Linked DNA regions of Oryctolagus cuniculus. The protein of the gene in region 1 purifies or fractionates together with the protein of each later gene. This does not show direct contact. Links are inferred from orthologs where the notes say so. Each region holds a gene or a part of one and is shown on either strand. Other genes may lie near its edges.

Region 1 (8,223 bases):
TAAATACAAATATTAGATCTGTGAAAACTCTAGATATGCAACACTAATGTTTAGAAGACATTCCCATAAATCGGGTCAAATTATTTCCTGAATGTACAATTACAGCTCTTCTAGGAAATATTCTCAAAAATGCTTAGATAGTTGGACAGCTTACGATCTGTTCTTTTCACCCCTAAAACATGTTTATCTCTTTGGAAAAGTCAAGTATTTTTGTTCTCATCTTTATTTGTATGTGTATGACTTCCAAGTTTGCCGAAGACTATTGCCTTAATGTCTGCCTTAAATTGTTTAACTATTTACAGGGTTAGACTGTGTCTCTGTGTAACACTAGACTACGACTATTTCAAGGGTAAGAATCATCACCTTCTCTTTAGCGTACCCAGGCCTGACACATGGTAGATGTTTTATATACACATGTTAATTTTTTAAAAAGATTTATAATTCTACATCAATATTCATCACATGGCTACAGAAGAGGAATACAATCTAGAATCCCAGGACTCTGAAGTTGGTGATGACTAGGTTAATTAACTTGGCCTTTACACTGTAGATAAAGTGAGGAAACATTGGATGCTGAGAAAAAGCAAATTGGATATGTACAATGTTTTATTTTAGGGATTCATTGCAGAAGACAACCTGAAAAGTTAATATAGCAAAGAGATCAGTTAATATTGACAGAAGAATAGGAATGAATAATCTGAACAAACAGTACAGGGGCTGGCGCTGTGCCAGAGCAGGTAAAGCTACCACCTGCAGTGCTGGCATCCCATATGGGTGACAGTTCGAGACCCGGCTGCTCCTCTCCTGATTCAGCTCTGTATGGCCTGGGAAAGCAGCAGAAGATGGCCTCAGTCCTTGGGCCCCTGCACCCACACTGGAGATCTGGAAGAAGCTCCTGGCTCCTGGCTTCGGACTGGCCCAGCTCTGGCCATTGCGGCCATCTGGGGAGTGAGCCAGAGGATGGAAAACCTCTCTCTTTGCTCTGCCTCTCTGTAACTCGGCCTTTCAAATAAATAAATAAATCTTAAAAAAGAGAAGAAACAGTACAAAGGAACAACCAACTCAGCTTAGTAAGTAACTGCATGGAGAGCAAAGAAAGAGAGGATCATACATAACTTTAAGTGTCTAAAAACCTAGGAATTAAATAATACTAACAGAAACCAGAAAAGCTAAAGCAAGAGTCTGATCTTAACAAAAATGATAGGTTAGTATTAACACATTGAATTTTAAGTCAAAGAAAAACTTCTAGATGACAACATTTAACAGGTAACTAGAACACAAAACTGTTCCAATTCCAAAATATCCCAGGTTGACAATTAACCCTTGATTTCCTCTACAAACCTGCTTCCAGCCATAGAAGTGCATACTAGTGAGTTTGCCATAGTTAGGCTCAGCAATATGGATGTTCAAAGACTGGCTTTGATCAATGAAAGCACCTCTCTCAGCTGCCATCTTGAGTACAGTTTTCTGAGAGATTTCCCATACAGTCTTATAAAGTTGCTTCAGGTCATCAGGAATTTCTGGTATGCTCTAAAGAAAGGAAACCAAATATTCATTCTACTCCACTTCAGGAAAGCAGTATGATTAACAGAATAGTGATACAAAGGTCTAGTCTGTCTGCCAAATCTGACTCTATCATACATGATCTTGCCAAGTTTGCCAATAAAAGTCCAACAAAACCCCATCTGAGGAACCAAATATCAATCTGGTGGTAGTAATTTAAGCATCCCTCTATAATTGGCTTATGATCAAAACATTCATTATTCATTATTAAGAAAGGAAAGTAACAGCTAAGCAGCATAAATCACCCTTGAGTTTTGCAAAATACACAAATAATCAGGACTGTAACTCACAGGGACATAATCAGGGAAAAAATGAGGCAAGCCCACTTAAAGACAGGACTTTACAAACTCTATTTGTGCCCAAAGAAACCAGGTTTTCTTGGGTCATGGTTAACCTGAAAACACACAGACTAGGGTCCAGTGCTGTGGGTGTAGCAGGTAAAGCCACTGCCTGCAGTGCCTCTATCCTATATGGGCACTAGTTCAAGTCTCAGCTGCTCCACTTCGATTCAGCTCCCTGCTATGGCCTGGGAAAGCAGCAAGATGGCTCAAATGCTTGGGTCCCTGCACCCGCATGGGAGACCTGGAAGAAGCTCCTGGCTCCTGGCTTTGGATCAGCCCTGGTCTGGCCAATGTGGCCATTTAGGGAGTAAACCAGCAGTTGGAAGTCCTCTCTCTCTCTCTCTGCCTCTCCTTATCTCTGTGTAACTCTGACTATCAAATAAATAAATAAGTCTTTTAAAAAAATAAGTAAACCTTTAAAAAAAAAAAAAGACTAGATAATGCTACAGCTTTTGTCATCAAATACAGAAATGTTACAGGACTCTATGTTGCCAAGTACACCAATGTTTAGCCTATGTCTTCTATCTACAAATGAACGTTTGTTCAACCTCAACTTCATTTGATTATTATATATTATTTGTAATTCTGTCTTTTGGATTATAGTCCTCAGCCTCTATCATACTTTTAAATTAAGTTTAACTCTCTAATTTCAGTGGCCCTCAAATTTTGATACATTTTTAAATCACCTAAGGAAACTTTAAAATATATTGATAATGTCTGGCTCCCACTTTCAGACATTCTTAGATGGCAAGGAATACAATCTAAATTTCAGGATTTTCAAAGTTCCCCAATTATGCAGACATGCTGGGAACCACTGCTTTACATTCTTGAACAAGACTTGTTGTAAGAGGTGTATAATCCTAGCACACCAATGCAGAGGTGAACAGAGCTACATGAATCACAGCCTACAGATCCATAATGAATAGCTATTTTTTCCTCTCTCCATTTTCTGGGATAAGTGAGGAGGCACCACAATGTCCAACTCAGCTCCTGAAGAGCACACTTCATGGGTTGGTGCTGTGGTGTAGGAGGTAAAGCTGATGCCTGTGGTGCTACCATGTGGCTCCACTTCCAATCCAGCTTCCTGCTAATGCACCTGGGAAAGCTGCAGAAGATGGCCAAAATGATTGGGCCCCTGCACCCACATGGCAGACCCAGAGGAAGCACCTGGCTTCAGATCAACCCAGCTCTGACCGCTGCAGCCACGGGAGTGAACCAGTGGATGGATAATGTCTCTTTGTCTCTCCCTCTCTATATAACTCTGCCTTTAAAATAAATGAATAAACCTAAAAAAAGGGAAAAAAAAAAAGCACACTTCATTTTCTTGCTATACCTGGATAGAGCCATTGCACGCAATAATCTGGTTTTTCATCTCTTCATTCCACAAGCCCCTCTCAGTAAGATCTTTCAATAAGTGAGGATTTACAATCTGAATGGAAAAACAGAAAAAATGTAAAGAAATAACAATGACAGGGCTCACATAGACTCACAGGCCTGGAGCTTTACATAAATAAGATCACCAAAGAATTACTTAACATTAGATTGCTTAGTAAATTCATTTAGCTATATTCATTTAAAATCCTAACATCTGTTATTAAAGAAACAATATATTATGGTAAATACATTATAATGTCTGTATATATTAATATTAAAACATCTTATTGTACATCTTGGATATATACAATTTTTGTCAACTATACCTCAATAAAGTTGGAAGAAACTTAATTACAATAAGAAATATGACATTTACCTAAACTGGGTAAATCTATATGGATTAATTCTTTGTTTTTTCTAAGTAAAGATAAAATAAATACTTAAGTTAAAAAAATTAGAGGAGTCGGAGTTTAGTCTCACAGTTAAGACACTAGTTAAGAGTTGGCATCCCACACTGGAGTTCAAAACCCTACTCTGGCTCTTGATTCCAGCTTCCTGCTCATACAGTCTCTGTTAGACAGGCAGAAGTGATGGCTCAAGTAACTGGGTTTGTCATCCTGTGGGAAACCTGGATTGAGTTCCTGGCTCCTGGTCTTAGATAGTTTTCAGGGCACTTAAGGAGTGAACCAGCAAAGGGACACTCTCTCTCCCTATTTATCTGACTCTCCGTCTCTCAAATTCAAAAATAAACAAATTACTTAGAAATATATCTTCCCAAAATCTTATAAAATTTTACTTTAGGATATCTGGAAAATCATAAATGAAAATCTCTAAATTAGTGATCCTTTTTTTCAGGATATCTGGAAATTCATAAATGAAAAAAACCTCTAAATTAGTGAATTTCACCAGAAATGCAAGGTGGTAATCAAGTCTGAGAATCACTATCTTAGATAGTACTTCCATATACCCCAAATCAATCATCAGAGGCCACAGGAATCACTGATTATATAACGGTTAAATATCACATGAACTCTAATATCAACAAGGTACTTTCATATTGAACCCCCATTTATTCTTTCAACAGATATTTATTAAATGTCTATTATGTGCTGAAATAACAGAACAATTTTAGAGATGAAGATGACTCTCTTTTCAAAGTTTTGTCCCCAAAGTAAGTAAAGTTTTACAAAGTAAAAAATGAGTGAGTATTTATGCCCAACATTAAGCTTTTGAAAGATCTCCCTGTCAATCTGGTTGTGAACTTCTCACCTGAAATTCTCCTGACAAGACTCTGCGAGTATAGATGTTGCTAGTGTACGGTTCAATGGATTCATTATTCCCCAGGATCTGAGCAGTTGAAGCAGTTGGCATCGGGGCAAGAAGTAAACTGTTTCTTATACCATACCTAAGGATAAGGAGATTGTTAGTTGCTTGTTCTAAAGCTACAATCAACCAGGGAGGCAGTTACTTAAAGTCACTGGGAGTAACACCATGAATATATGCTATAACTCTTATGCTGACTTCTGAATTAAATTCCTATAGGGAGGAGCCAGCGCTGTGGCTTAGCAGGTTAAATTGCTGCCTATAGTGCCGGCATCCCATATAGACGCCAGTTCAAGTCCAGGCTGCTCCATTTCTGATCCAGCCCTCTGCTATGGCCTGAGAAAGCAGTAGAAGATGGCCCAAGTGCTCGGGCCTCTGCACCCGCATGGGGGACCCAGAGGATGCTCCTAGCTCCAAGCTTTGGATCGGCCATCTGGGGAGTGAACCAGCTGATGGAAGACCTGTCTGTCTCTGTGTCTCTCTCTCTGCCTTTCAAATAAAATAAATAAATCTTAAAATAAAAACAATTCCTATAGAAATTCAAGGCCTCTATGAATGCTGCAGCTCACCCCTTTCTTAAATGCCTGACTCCTACACAGAATTAGCAACACGTTAACTGTTGGCAATCCTAACCAGGTAACAATTTATACTACTTGCACTATAGCACATAGGATTCACAACACTGGATACAATATTTTGCACAGGGAAATACTCAATCACTGCTGAAGAGTTCCCTGCATGTTTCAAGGTATCTGGTTCAACCCTCACTCTTCTAAGGGCCTATATGAATCACTAAACTAGGCCTCTTCAGTAAAAATAATATTGCGAAAGTGGTTAAATTAAGACATATCACTACTTCCTCCGCCTAGCGGCGCCGGCACACCGGGTTCTAGTCCCGGTTGGGGCACCGGATTCTGTCCCGGTTGCCCCTCTTCCAGGCCAGCTCTCTGCTGTGGCCAGGGAGTGCAGTGGAGGATGGCCCAGGTGCTTGGGCCCTGCACCCCATGGGAGACCAGGAAAAGCACCTGGCTCCTGGCTCCTGCCATCGGATCAGCGCGGTGCGCTGGCCGCAGCGCGCCAGCCGCGGCGGCCATTAGAGGGTGAACCAACGGCAAAGGAAGACCTTTCTCTCTGTCTCTCTCTCTCACTGTCCACTCTGCCTGTCCAAAAAAAAAAAAAAGACATATCACTACAATTCTCATTCTCTATTATATTATGAAAAGGGAAAAATCATAGTATGAGGGTACTTCAAAAAATTTACAGACAATGGAATTAAAGTTTGTTTTGATGCAAAAAAAATTTGAAATTCATGATATCAGGGGTCTTCAAAGTTTATGAAAATCCATACTATGAAAACTATGCCTAAATTTCAAACTTTTTGCACCAAAATAAACTTATCTTCTAATTCGATTGTCCATATACTTTTGAAGTACCCTCATATACTCCTAGCTTCATCTATTACATTTTCAATTGTAAGTTCCTAGAAGGTTAACATCTTTTGAATAGTGCCAAAAAGAGTTCTTAACAAAGAATATACTATGTGACACACAGAAATTTCCACACTGCTCCAAGCTTATTCTTCAAAGCTCAGCGTGAGATTCCAATTCTGTAACATCTTCTCTGCCCAGACAGGCAATAAACACAAGTATCAAATACAAATAACTGCTCTGAAAACATTTTCTAAAACCTGTACCTTTATTATATTTTACTTCATATATCTTACTGCACTTAGTCTTAGGTTCTTGAGACTACATACAAACAGTATGTTTTCCTATTTTCTACCTATAGATTCATATACTGCTTAGAACAGAGCCAGAGGTCTTGACAGTGTTTGTACAACTGGGTTCTCAACTTCACATTGTCACTTTCTAGTTGCGAGGCCTCAAGCAAACCACCAGCTATAATTCCTCATCTGTAAAACAGCAACATCTTCTGTCTACAGACAGGAAAATGCTGTGATAAATCAAATGTGTGTTTCAATTTATCTGTAAATGTTCTGGATAAAGTCTAGAGAAACACACACTACTAACAAGGTTCATCATTGGGAAAAACACTGAGTTAAGTTTTTTGTTTTGTGGGACAAGTGGCTGGCAGAGATTATGAAGAAGGGCATAGAATTTAAACTCTACTAACAATGAGTGAATATAATGAATGAATAAATATCATTAATATATTAATTTTTAAATTCAAAAAGTCATGGGGGTGGGCATTTTGGCACAGTGGATCAGCTGCTGCTTGGGACACCTGCATCCCATATCAGAGTGCTGTGTCTGTGTCCTGATCCAGTTTCCTGCTACTGTGTATCCTGGGAGGCAGCAAGTGATGGCTCAAGAGCTCAGGCCCCTGCCACTACATAGGTGACTCAGACCAGATGGAGTTCTGGGCTTCTGGGTTTGGCCTGGTCCAGCCCTGGCTACTATGGGCATTTGGTGAGTGAACCAGTGGATGGAAGAATTTTTTTAAAGACTTATTTATTTACTTGAGAGGCAGAGTAACAGAGAGAGGGAGAGACAGAAAGAATGGTCTTCCACCCACTGGTTCACTCCCCAAATGGCCACTACAGACAGAACTGGGCTGATCTGAAGCCAGGAGCCAAGTGCTTCTTCCGGGTCTCCCACGTGGGTGCAGGGATCCAAGCACTTGGGGCATCTTATACTGCTTTCCCCCAGGCCATCAGCAGGGAGCTGGCTTGGAAGACGAGCAGCTGGAACCTGAATTTCCACCTATATAGGATGCCTGCCCAACAGGCAGATGCTTAACCTACTATGCCACAGTGCTGGCTCCCAGATGGAAGATCTTGGTGTTTCTCTTTTTCTCTGCCTTTCAAACAAATGAAAATAAAATAAACACTTTCACATATAAAATGCAGTACATATCCTTTTTTGTTAAAGTTGAATTTGCATGTAATATGCACATACACACACCCTCATAAGAAAATTTGAAGGCTGACAAACACAAAGATGCAATCAGGTATTCAGGTGTGGTGGTATCAGAAAAGTATTCATTCTCCTCCTCTTCCCATGTGTATTTTCCTAAACTTTCTAAGGTGTATTATTAAATTAACAGAAACAATCTTTAAGGAAAGTAATTATTCGTAGATGTCAAACTCAATGATAGAAAAGGAAAACATTGGTTTCATTATTTGCTCAGCAAAACATCCTGTCTGCCCTCAAACCTCATACGCTCTTTAGCTTAAAAAGCCTGCATGAGGCCAGTGCTGTGGTGCAGTGGGTTAAAGCCCTGGCCTGAAGTGCCAGCATCCCATATGGGCACCGGTTCTAGTCCCGGCTGCTCCTCTTCTGATCCAGCTCTCTGCTATGGCCTGGGATAGCAGTAGAAGATGGCCCAGGTCCTTGGGCCCCTGCACCCATGTGAGAGACCAGGAAAAAGCTCCTGGCTCCTGTTTTCAGATCAGCACAGCTCTGGCCATTGCGGCCATCTGGGGAGTGAACCGGCAAATGGAAGACCTCTCTCTCTCTCTGTCTCTACCTCTCTCTGTAACTCTGTCTTTCAAATAAATAAAATAAATCTTAAAAAAAAAAATAGCCTGAAAAGACTAACTTCTAAATCTTTCACACAAAGTTAACACATTACCCTCCAAAATCCCTAAATTGCTATGACA
Region 2 (8,673 bases), on another chromosome or scaffold:
GATACAATGGAAAGAGCTCTGGGCCAACAGCCATAGAATCACTGGATTTCGGAACAATAGATCTTTCAGAAAAATCAGATCCCAATCATGTGCAGCACAGGCAAGGAAATCAAGACCAAATTGAATTAAGTAGCTTGTGCCTGAAACCTAAGAGCACTCAAATGCATACTGACTAATCTCAAAGCCAAAGAGAAGCTGATGACATCATTAATGTGAGTCCTATTTAAGAATCTGTAAAATTTAAATAATCTGTTTAGCGAAACATATCATAGCAATAATTCTTTTCCTAGCTCCTTGGGTTTAAAGTTCAGTTCAAATATTTTAAATTGCCATCTTTTTTTTTTAACACATTTATTTATTTATTTATTTATTTACTTGAGAGGTAGAGTTACAGACAGAGAGAGAAAGAGACAGAGAAAAAGGTCTTCCATCCGCTGGTTCACTCCCCAAACAGCTGTAATAGCTGGAGCTGGGCCAGTCTGAAGCCAGGAGTCAGGAGCTTCTTCCGGGCCTCCAACATGGGTGCAGGGCCATCTTCTATTGCTTTCCCAGGCCACAGCAGAGAGTTGGATCGATTCTGTCTTGTTTTCTTACGCACACATTCAAGGCCATAATTGCCGAGGATCTCTCTAACTGTATTCTAAAGGTTCCGATATATAGTAAGACCACTGTAATTTAGTTTATACTTTCAGTAAGTTATATTTTATTTTTAATCTCATTTTAAAGGTTTTCTCAACTTCTAAGTAGTCTAAATTTGGCAATTTTGCTATGAATTTCTAATTTTATGACATTAAAATAAACCTTTTAAAAACAACAAAAAGAAATAAATGAGTAAAAAATTAATGTTAAAAAATTATATGTAAAAAAGTACTGCAAATGCTTTTTGTAAAATATATCCTAGGGGTATTACCTGGCTATAACATTTAATTAGTAGTAACACAGTTATAAAAATCTTACCTTTGAGAATCCAAGTTCCATGAGTAACCTGTCAGCTACAAACTCAATGTACTGCTTCATCAAAATACAGTTCATTCCAATGAGGCCAACCGGCAAGGCTTCTGTTAAAAACTCCTGAAAGGGAAACAAAAACAGAGTAAAGTATAGAGATAAAAAAATAATAAGTACGCATTTTCCAAAAAGAAAGATTTTGCTTTTATTTTCTAAGACACTGATCTTGTTCAAGGAAAGCACTATGGATAAACTGTTTCGATGTGGCACATGAGGTCCATTTGCTTAAAAATATATGGGATATTACTATGCATATTCTTTCACATTCTCAAAGAGCCAAAATAAATAGAAACTACCGAATTACTGGATTTTTAAAAGTAGTGCATGTAGGACCTGGATTCATTTTTTTTTTCATTAGAAAAAGATGTTTTATCTTGAAAAATTTACAAAGATTCACTAAAGTTCATCAGCATGGGGAACATCACTAAGGAAAGGAGTTGAGAAAGCTCAATTAACAAAGACAGGACCAAAATAAACAAACAAAAAGAGCAGATCTGGGGGTTGGGAGGTAAATGAAACTCCAACTACCCTGAAAGACAGTGATAAAGTGTTAATAGAGGAAAAATAAAACCATATTAATTATTTGGATTTAGTTTTTAAAACAATTAAAGATTCCAAAATGTATCTTATGCCATTCCCCCATCAATATGAAAAACAATGCAGTAATGTTAAACTATGCAGTGTTTAAAAAATATTCTATTTCCAAACTAGTACTTTAGAATGATTAAAAACACAACCTGAGTAGAGCACCTAGCCCTTTCTAGTCACTAATCCAGTTACTTATTTGTTCTTTTTTTTTTTTTAAAGGTTTATTTATTTGTTTGAAAGGCAGAGCTATAGAGAGGCAGAGGCAGAGAGAGAGAAAGAGACAGAGAATCTTCCATCTGCTGGTTCATTCCCCAATTGGCCAAAAAGCTGGAGCCATGCTGATCTGAAGCCAGGAGCCAGGAGCTTCTTCCAAGTCTCCCACGTGGGTGCAAGGGGCCCATCGTGGACTTGGGCCATCTTCTATAGTTTTCCTAGGCCATAGAAGAGAGCTGGATGGGAAGTGGAGCAGCTGGGTCTCAAATTGGCACCCATATGGGATGCTGGCACTGCAGGCAGCGGCTTTACCACTACACCACAGCGCCAGCCCCTACTTATTTGTTCTGTAAACATTTTGTGCATGCTTCAGCTAGGTACCTGTTAGGTTACTGAGAATACAAAATAAACAAGCAAAAATATCACTGCCCTCTATTAGCTAAAAACCTAAAAATGTAAAGATACAATAAAGTTTGTTATGGCATGAAATTTGACAGATAGATCAACGAGACAGAAAAACAGGCCTGGGACAGATTTTAGTGTACTTAAAACCTTAATATAATCATATAATAGACTGACTTATAAAAAATTATCTCAAAAATAAATAAATAAAATATAAAGTTTGGGAAAAAAGGCTGACTTACAAACCAAATTATAAACTGACTTACAGTAATTGCAATACATCACATATTCGTACCATCAAGGCTAACCATATAAAATTGCCAGTTTCCCCTTTAGTTTCCCCATGGAAAAGTAATGCTGCTTGCTCACTGCCCCGACCTGCAAGCAGCAGGCCCACGAGTTTCAGTACCCATTTGGACTTTCACAGAGGTGTCAGCATCGAAAGCTACCAGTTTGTGGTACTGTCATCCGGTATGTGCAAGGTACTGGCACCATCTTCATCAGGTGATGGCCTGGAGGCGAGGCCACCAGAAGGCGTTCCTATTTCAGTTCCCTGTGGTACTTTGCTCCTGGGTTTCAGCCACAAAGCACCAATGACAGTGAGGCTGAGTGTCCTCAGCTCTTGTGTGACCATCGAATGGCCTCACAGGACTTCCATGGCACTTACTCACATTGTACAAGGTGTGGGCAGCTTCCACATGACAGTCGTGGGATCCAGCTGCCTAAAAGGACCAAGGGGCTGAGGCCATGGCCCAGTGGGTAAAGCTGAAGCCTGTGGCGCCAGCATCCCATATGGATGCCAGTTCAAGTCCCAGCTGCTTCACTTCCGATCCAGCTTTCTGCCAATGCCTGGGAAAGCAGCAGAAGATGGTCCAAGTGCTTGGGCCTCTGCAACCACCTGGGAGACTAGAAGAAGCTCCTGGCTCCTGGCTTTGGACTGGCACAGCTCTGGCCAATGCAGCCAGTTGGGGAGTGAACCAGTGGATGCAAGACCTTTCTCTTTCTCCACCTCTCAAATAAATAAATAAATAAACGAATAAATAAATAAATAAATCAGGAGGAAGAGAAGGGGGGGAGGGAGGGAGAAAGGAAGGAAAAGGCCAAACTCCACCCAAAGAGGAGGAGGCAGCGATGGAGTCAGCCAGATGGGGAGGTGGAATGCAACCTGAGCAGTATGGAAATCACCGAGGAGCTGGCCACACTTCCACTGAGCAGCACAGAGAAGAGCGACGGCGTGGCAGCAGCTGGTCCCGGCACGCCCAGATGACTACAAGTGCACCAACCACCAGCTACGCAACAACACCCATGGGTTGGTAGGGCCCCCTACCGAGAGGCCTGGCCGCAATGCAGCTCCTGTACAGGGAGCACACTGCCAAGATCCGAGCCATGGAGGCTGTGGTACCACTGAGCTTCGACAAGCACTGTGCAGGAAGCTGCCTGAGTACTGGCCCCACGGTCCCTGCACGTTCTAAGCCCCGGCTCAGGGATCCCAGGGGATGCTTTCTGAACAGGGTCCCCAGTCTCACCCCCCTCCTTTCGAGTAGCCTCTCTTCAACTCAGCTTCTAGACATTCTCGGGGAAAGAGGCATTAGACTGAGTACAAGCAGGTTCACCAAAGTCCCCGCGAGCCATCAGCAGGGGACTGTAACCCCGAGAGAGTCAGCAGGAGTATACTGTGGCCAACTGGAGAATTGCTCTCTCGACATAGAGCAGTACTTCTACATAACAAGGACTTTTGACATTGTCCATAACAGTATTCATTCATTAAAGGGCTTGCCCAGAAAAAAATAAAATAAAATTGCTACAAAATGACAATTTCCTGATTAACCTAACACAATGGTACAAATATCAGGGGAAAAACAAACAAACAAAAACGTGCTACCTGCAGGGACTTTGCTTACCTGCTCAATTTCGACAGCATTAACAATGATCTCTCTGACCCTCTCTTCTGAAGGCTTATTTACTAAATACTGAAACATCAGGCAAGCAAAGTCACAGTGAAGTCCCTAAAACAGAAAACAAATGACACTGCCAATGAACTTTTAACCATCCATTTGCACACAATCATGTATAGAACATTATAAAAATTTGTTTCTAGGAATGTGTCATAGAATTTCTTAAAATGAAACAAGAATTAATAGGGTTAAGAACTTATTTCCTTCAAATATCATTAAATGCCAACCTAATGCCAACAAATCTTGGTTCATCAATATTAAAGAAGAATTAACTTACAAACAAAAACCTACAAACAAAAGCATTTTGAAAAGGAAAACAAAGAAAGAAGAGCCAAAATAAAAACTCATCAATTTTTTTAAAAGATTTATTTTTTTTATTTTTGAAACTCAGAGTTACAGAGAGAAAAAGAGAGACAAAGAGAGTGAGTTCTTCCATTCACTGGTTCACTCCTCAGACGGCCACAACAGCCAGCACTGGGCCAGGCTGAAGGAAGGAGCCAGGTGCTTCACCCAGGTCTCACGCATGGGTGGCAGAGGCCCAAACACTTGGGCTATCTTCTACTTTTCCCAGGCCATTAGTAGGGAGTTGGATCAGAAGTGGAGCAGCAGGGACATGAACCAGTACCCTGGTAGGATGCCCGTGACACAGGTGGCAGCTTTACTCATTATACCACAATGGGGGTCCCAAAAACTCATCAATTTTTAAATGCCAAAAAAATTAAAGAATGACTGACAAATATTAGGTAGTATTAAAAGGACAGAGATTTTTTTAAAAAGGTCAGAGATTTTAAAAAGATAGTATTTATATTAAATAAGAATAGCTCAAGATAAAAATGAATTCAGCACCATCTGAGTCCATATACAACAGACATGGCATTGCAGACAACTCAGCCACAAAGACCCCTGAGAAAAAAATAGTGATGCAAATTTAATAAATGCTACAGAATATTAAGTAACTAGAAAACAGGCCAGGCAGATTCAACCTACAGTAACCAGGACTCCAAAGCATAGAACAGATGATATAAAGCTGAAAATCAAAAGGACAGAAGAAAATTTTCAAAAATTCAAAACAAAAAAGATAATGAGGCCAGATATAAGATGATGGGATTCCCAAGAAAATTAACATAGACTCACGTCATGGTAGAGTTAATTAATATTTCTGAACTACAAAGAAAAACAAATCCTTTTATAGGTAACCAAAGGGAAGAGTGCGGAAAGTACAGTTTAAAGGATCACAAATCAGAATTACTTGGGTTTTTCTAAATGAATTAACAAAAACCAAAAGAGGATTCAAAGAGAAGATCCTCAAATTAAAGATTGTATTGAAAAGATTATTTACCTAAAATTCATTTTAAAAAACTCTCTTTGAACAGCTAATGCAAAAAAGTTTGCTAATGAACCATTTTTCCAAGATTTGTCTCCAGGGTACAATTCAAATTACCAACGGCAGAATGTCAAATAAACCGCTGAAAGATGTTAAAGAAAGTGTTGATTAGAATCAACAGAGAGAGGCCAGCAGTGTGGCGCAGCAGGTAAAGCCACCGCCTGCAGTGCCGGCACCCCATATGGGCACTGGTTCCAGTCCCGGCTGCTCCACTTCTGATCCAGCTCTCTGCTATGGTCTGGAAAGCAGTAGAAGATGGTCCAATGCCTTGGGCACGGGCACCTGCACCTGCGTGAGAGACCCGGCGGAAGCTCCTGGCTCCTGGCTTTGGATCAGCACAGCTCCGGCTGTTGCAGTCAAAGTGAACCAGCGGATGGAAGATCTCTCTCTCTCTCTCTGCCTCTCCTCTCTCTGTGTAACTCTGACTTTCAAATAAATAAATCTTTAAAAGAAAAAAAAAAGAATCAACAGAGAGCTACCTAATCCACAGAAAAGGTAGGCATGAATCATTGTTAAATCAATAAATGAATAAAATTAATTTAAGTTTTAAAGAATTTTCAATCAAAACCTCAGTAAGATTGTTTTTGATTCAAAAATCAAACTGGAATAATAATTGAGCAGAACCTTGTAGGAACAATTTAAAAAGGAAAGTTTTGAAATTTATCCTAACAATTATTAAAACATAAAACTGCAGCAATTAAAATAGTTTGTTACAGCACAAAATCTGACAGGCCACGAGGCAGGAGAAATAGCATATAACAGATTTTAGAACAGTAAGACTTTTACATTTAATAAAGAGGACAGTGCAGGGACCAGTGTGGTGGTGCAATGGGTTAAGCCTCTGCCTGCAAAGCCAGTACACATATGGGCACCATTTGAGTCTTGGCTGCTCCATTTCCAATCCAGCTCCCTGATAATGCACCAGGAAAAGCAGCAAAAGATGGCCCAAGTTGTTGGGCCCCTGCACCAACATGGGAGACCTGGATGGAGTTTCTGGCTCCTGGCTTCAGCTTGGCCCAGTGCTGGCTGCTGAAGCCACTTGGGGAGTGAACCAGCATATGGAAGATCTGTGTGTGTATGCATGTGTGCATGCGTGTGTGTGTGTGTGTGTGTGTGTGTGTCCCTCTCTCTTAGAAATAAGTTGAGGAGTCAAGATCATTAGTACAATCAATGTGAACTGATTGGCTGTAATGGGCTAAACCAATGAGAACAGAAAGGTAAGATAGACCAAGTCTCTGCTCTGAGGAGCACAGGATCTAGCAAAGAGGAGAGCAAGCGAACTGCAATATATATCATGGGCTAAAGAGTTTTCATTTTCAATCAGAAACATAAAAGAAAGAGTGGGGCATTTTATCTACTTGTGTCTGAAGAGTTCTGAATTGCCTTTCGTGGGGAAAAATGAAGGGAAGACAGGGAGGGCACGCGGCAGCGAGCATGCTGTGCACTGCATGTGGTCTGTCTGCCACAGGTTCCTGCGCTGGAGGCTGGGTGCCCAGTGTGGTGATGTGCAGGCGGTGGAACCTTTGAGAGATGCGGCCTAGTGGAAGGTAATTAGGTCATGGAGGTCCCACACTCATGAATGGATTAGTGCTGTCTGGCAGAAGTGGGTCAGGTCTCCGTGACTGAAACAGTTAACTAAAGAGCATGCTGTGAAACTGTAAAGCCATCCTGCGTGCTTGGTTTCCTCTGCACATGGCGGTTCCCTTTCTGCTCCTCCACAAGCAAGGGAGGTCCTTGCTGCAGGCTGGCACCAGGCTGTGTGGACTCCCAGGCACCAAAATCATAAGCCAAATAAACCTCTTGTAATATATATTACCCAACCTTGAGTGTTCTGTTATAGCAACACAAAATGGATTAACACAGGAAACAATATTTAGTTATTGATGGATGTGGCTGAAAAAGAAAAGAAGTGGAGCCAGTGCACCAGGTAAAGCCACCGCCTGTTAGGCCAGCATCCCATATGAGTGCTGGTGCATATCCTGGCTGCTCCACTTCCAAATTAATAGCCTGAGAAAAGCAGCAGCAGATGGCCCAAGTGCTGGGGCCTCTGACATCCACATGGGAAACCTGGATGAAGTTCCTGGCTTCTGGCTTTGGCCTGGTCCAGCCCTAGCCATTGTGGCCATCTGGGGAGTGAACCAGCAGATGAAGATCTGTCTGTCCCTTTCTCTGTAACTCTTTCAAATACATAAATAAATATTTCTTTTTTAAAAAAAAAAGGACCAATCTATTTTTCTCCCTCTCTTTTTTTAGAAACATTCTATTTAGTAAGTATAAATTTTATGAGTACATCTTTAAGAATACAGTGATTCTTCCCACCATACCTGCCCTCCTAGCCCTACTTCCTCCTCCCTTTCCCATTTACAGTCTCATTCTCCATTCATTTTCGATTAACTTTATACACAGAAGACCAACTCTATACTAAGTAAAGATTTCAACTATTTGCATGCACACACACATACACACAAATATAAAAACTGCTTGAGAAGAAGTTTTACAGTTAAATCTCATAGTATGATTCATTGAGGACAGAGGTCCTGCATGGGGAGTAAGTGCGCAGTGACTCCTGCTGTTAATTTAACAATTAACAATCTTATGTATGATGTCAGTGACCACCCAAGGCTCTTGCCATGAGCTGCCTAGGCTATGGAAACCTTTTGAGTCCACAAACTTCGTCAGTATTTAGGCAGGGCCATACGCAAAGTGGAAGTTCTCTCCTCCCTTCAGAGAAAAGTACCTCCTTCTTTGATGGCCACTTCTTTCCACTGGGGTCTCATTCACGGAGATCCTTCCTGGAGGACATTTTTTTTGGCCACAGTATCTTGGCTTTCCATTAAAGAACCAATCTAAAACGACTCCCAGATTTCAAACTGGATGACTGGATAAATGAATAATCCCAAGAGACAGGGAAAACAGAAGGAAAAACATGTCTTGGGTTTTACATGGTAAGTTTGATTTCTGAAATACTAGGTTTCTTAGGCCTTCCAGGAGAAAAAGTCTAACATGCACTTGGATATACCAATATGGATTTGGAGTTTGGGAAAAAATACTTGGGATAAAGACAAATTTGGGTGTGCCAGCACTGTGACATAACAGGTGAAGCCTCTGCCTGCAGTGCTGGCA

Evidence for each region.
Region 2: the proteins of RRM1 (region 1) and RRM2B purify together in Homo sapiens (affinity purification with western blotting; 3 studies listed by BioGRID and IntAct, counting the BioPlex papers as one, with this or other methods). This does not show direct contact. The link is inferred for Oryctolagus cuniculus from reciprocal best matches to the Homo sapiens genes RRM1 and RRM2B.

What each region holds. Positions count from the first base shown.
Region 1 is NC_091432.1:62,776,564-62,784,786, forward strand, and holds part of RRM1 (ribonucleoside-diphosphate reductase large subunit), read right to left. Parts: intron 4,684-8,223; coding exon 4,548-4,683; intron 3,334-4,547; coding exon 3,238-3,333; intron 1,531-3,237; coding exon 1,342-1,530; intron 1-1,341. UniProt on the Homo sapiens protein: Provides the precursors necessary for DNA synthesis. Catalyzes the biosynthesis of deoxyribonucleotides from the corresponding ribonucleotides.
Region 2 is NC_091437.1:127,537,134-127,545,806, forward strand, and holds the end of RRM2B (ribonucleoside-diphosphate reductase subunit M2 B), read right to left. Parts: intron 4,218-8,673; coding exon 4,113-4,217; intron 1,072-4,112; coding exon 958-1,071; intron 641-957; coding exon 440-640; 3' UTR 335-439; downstream 1-334.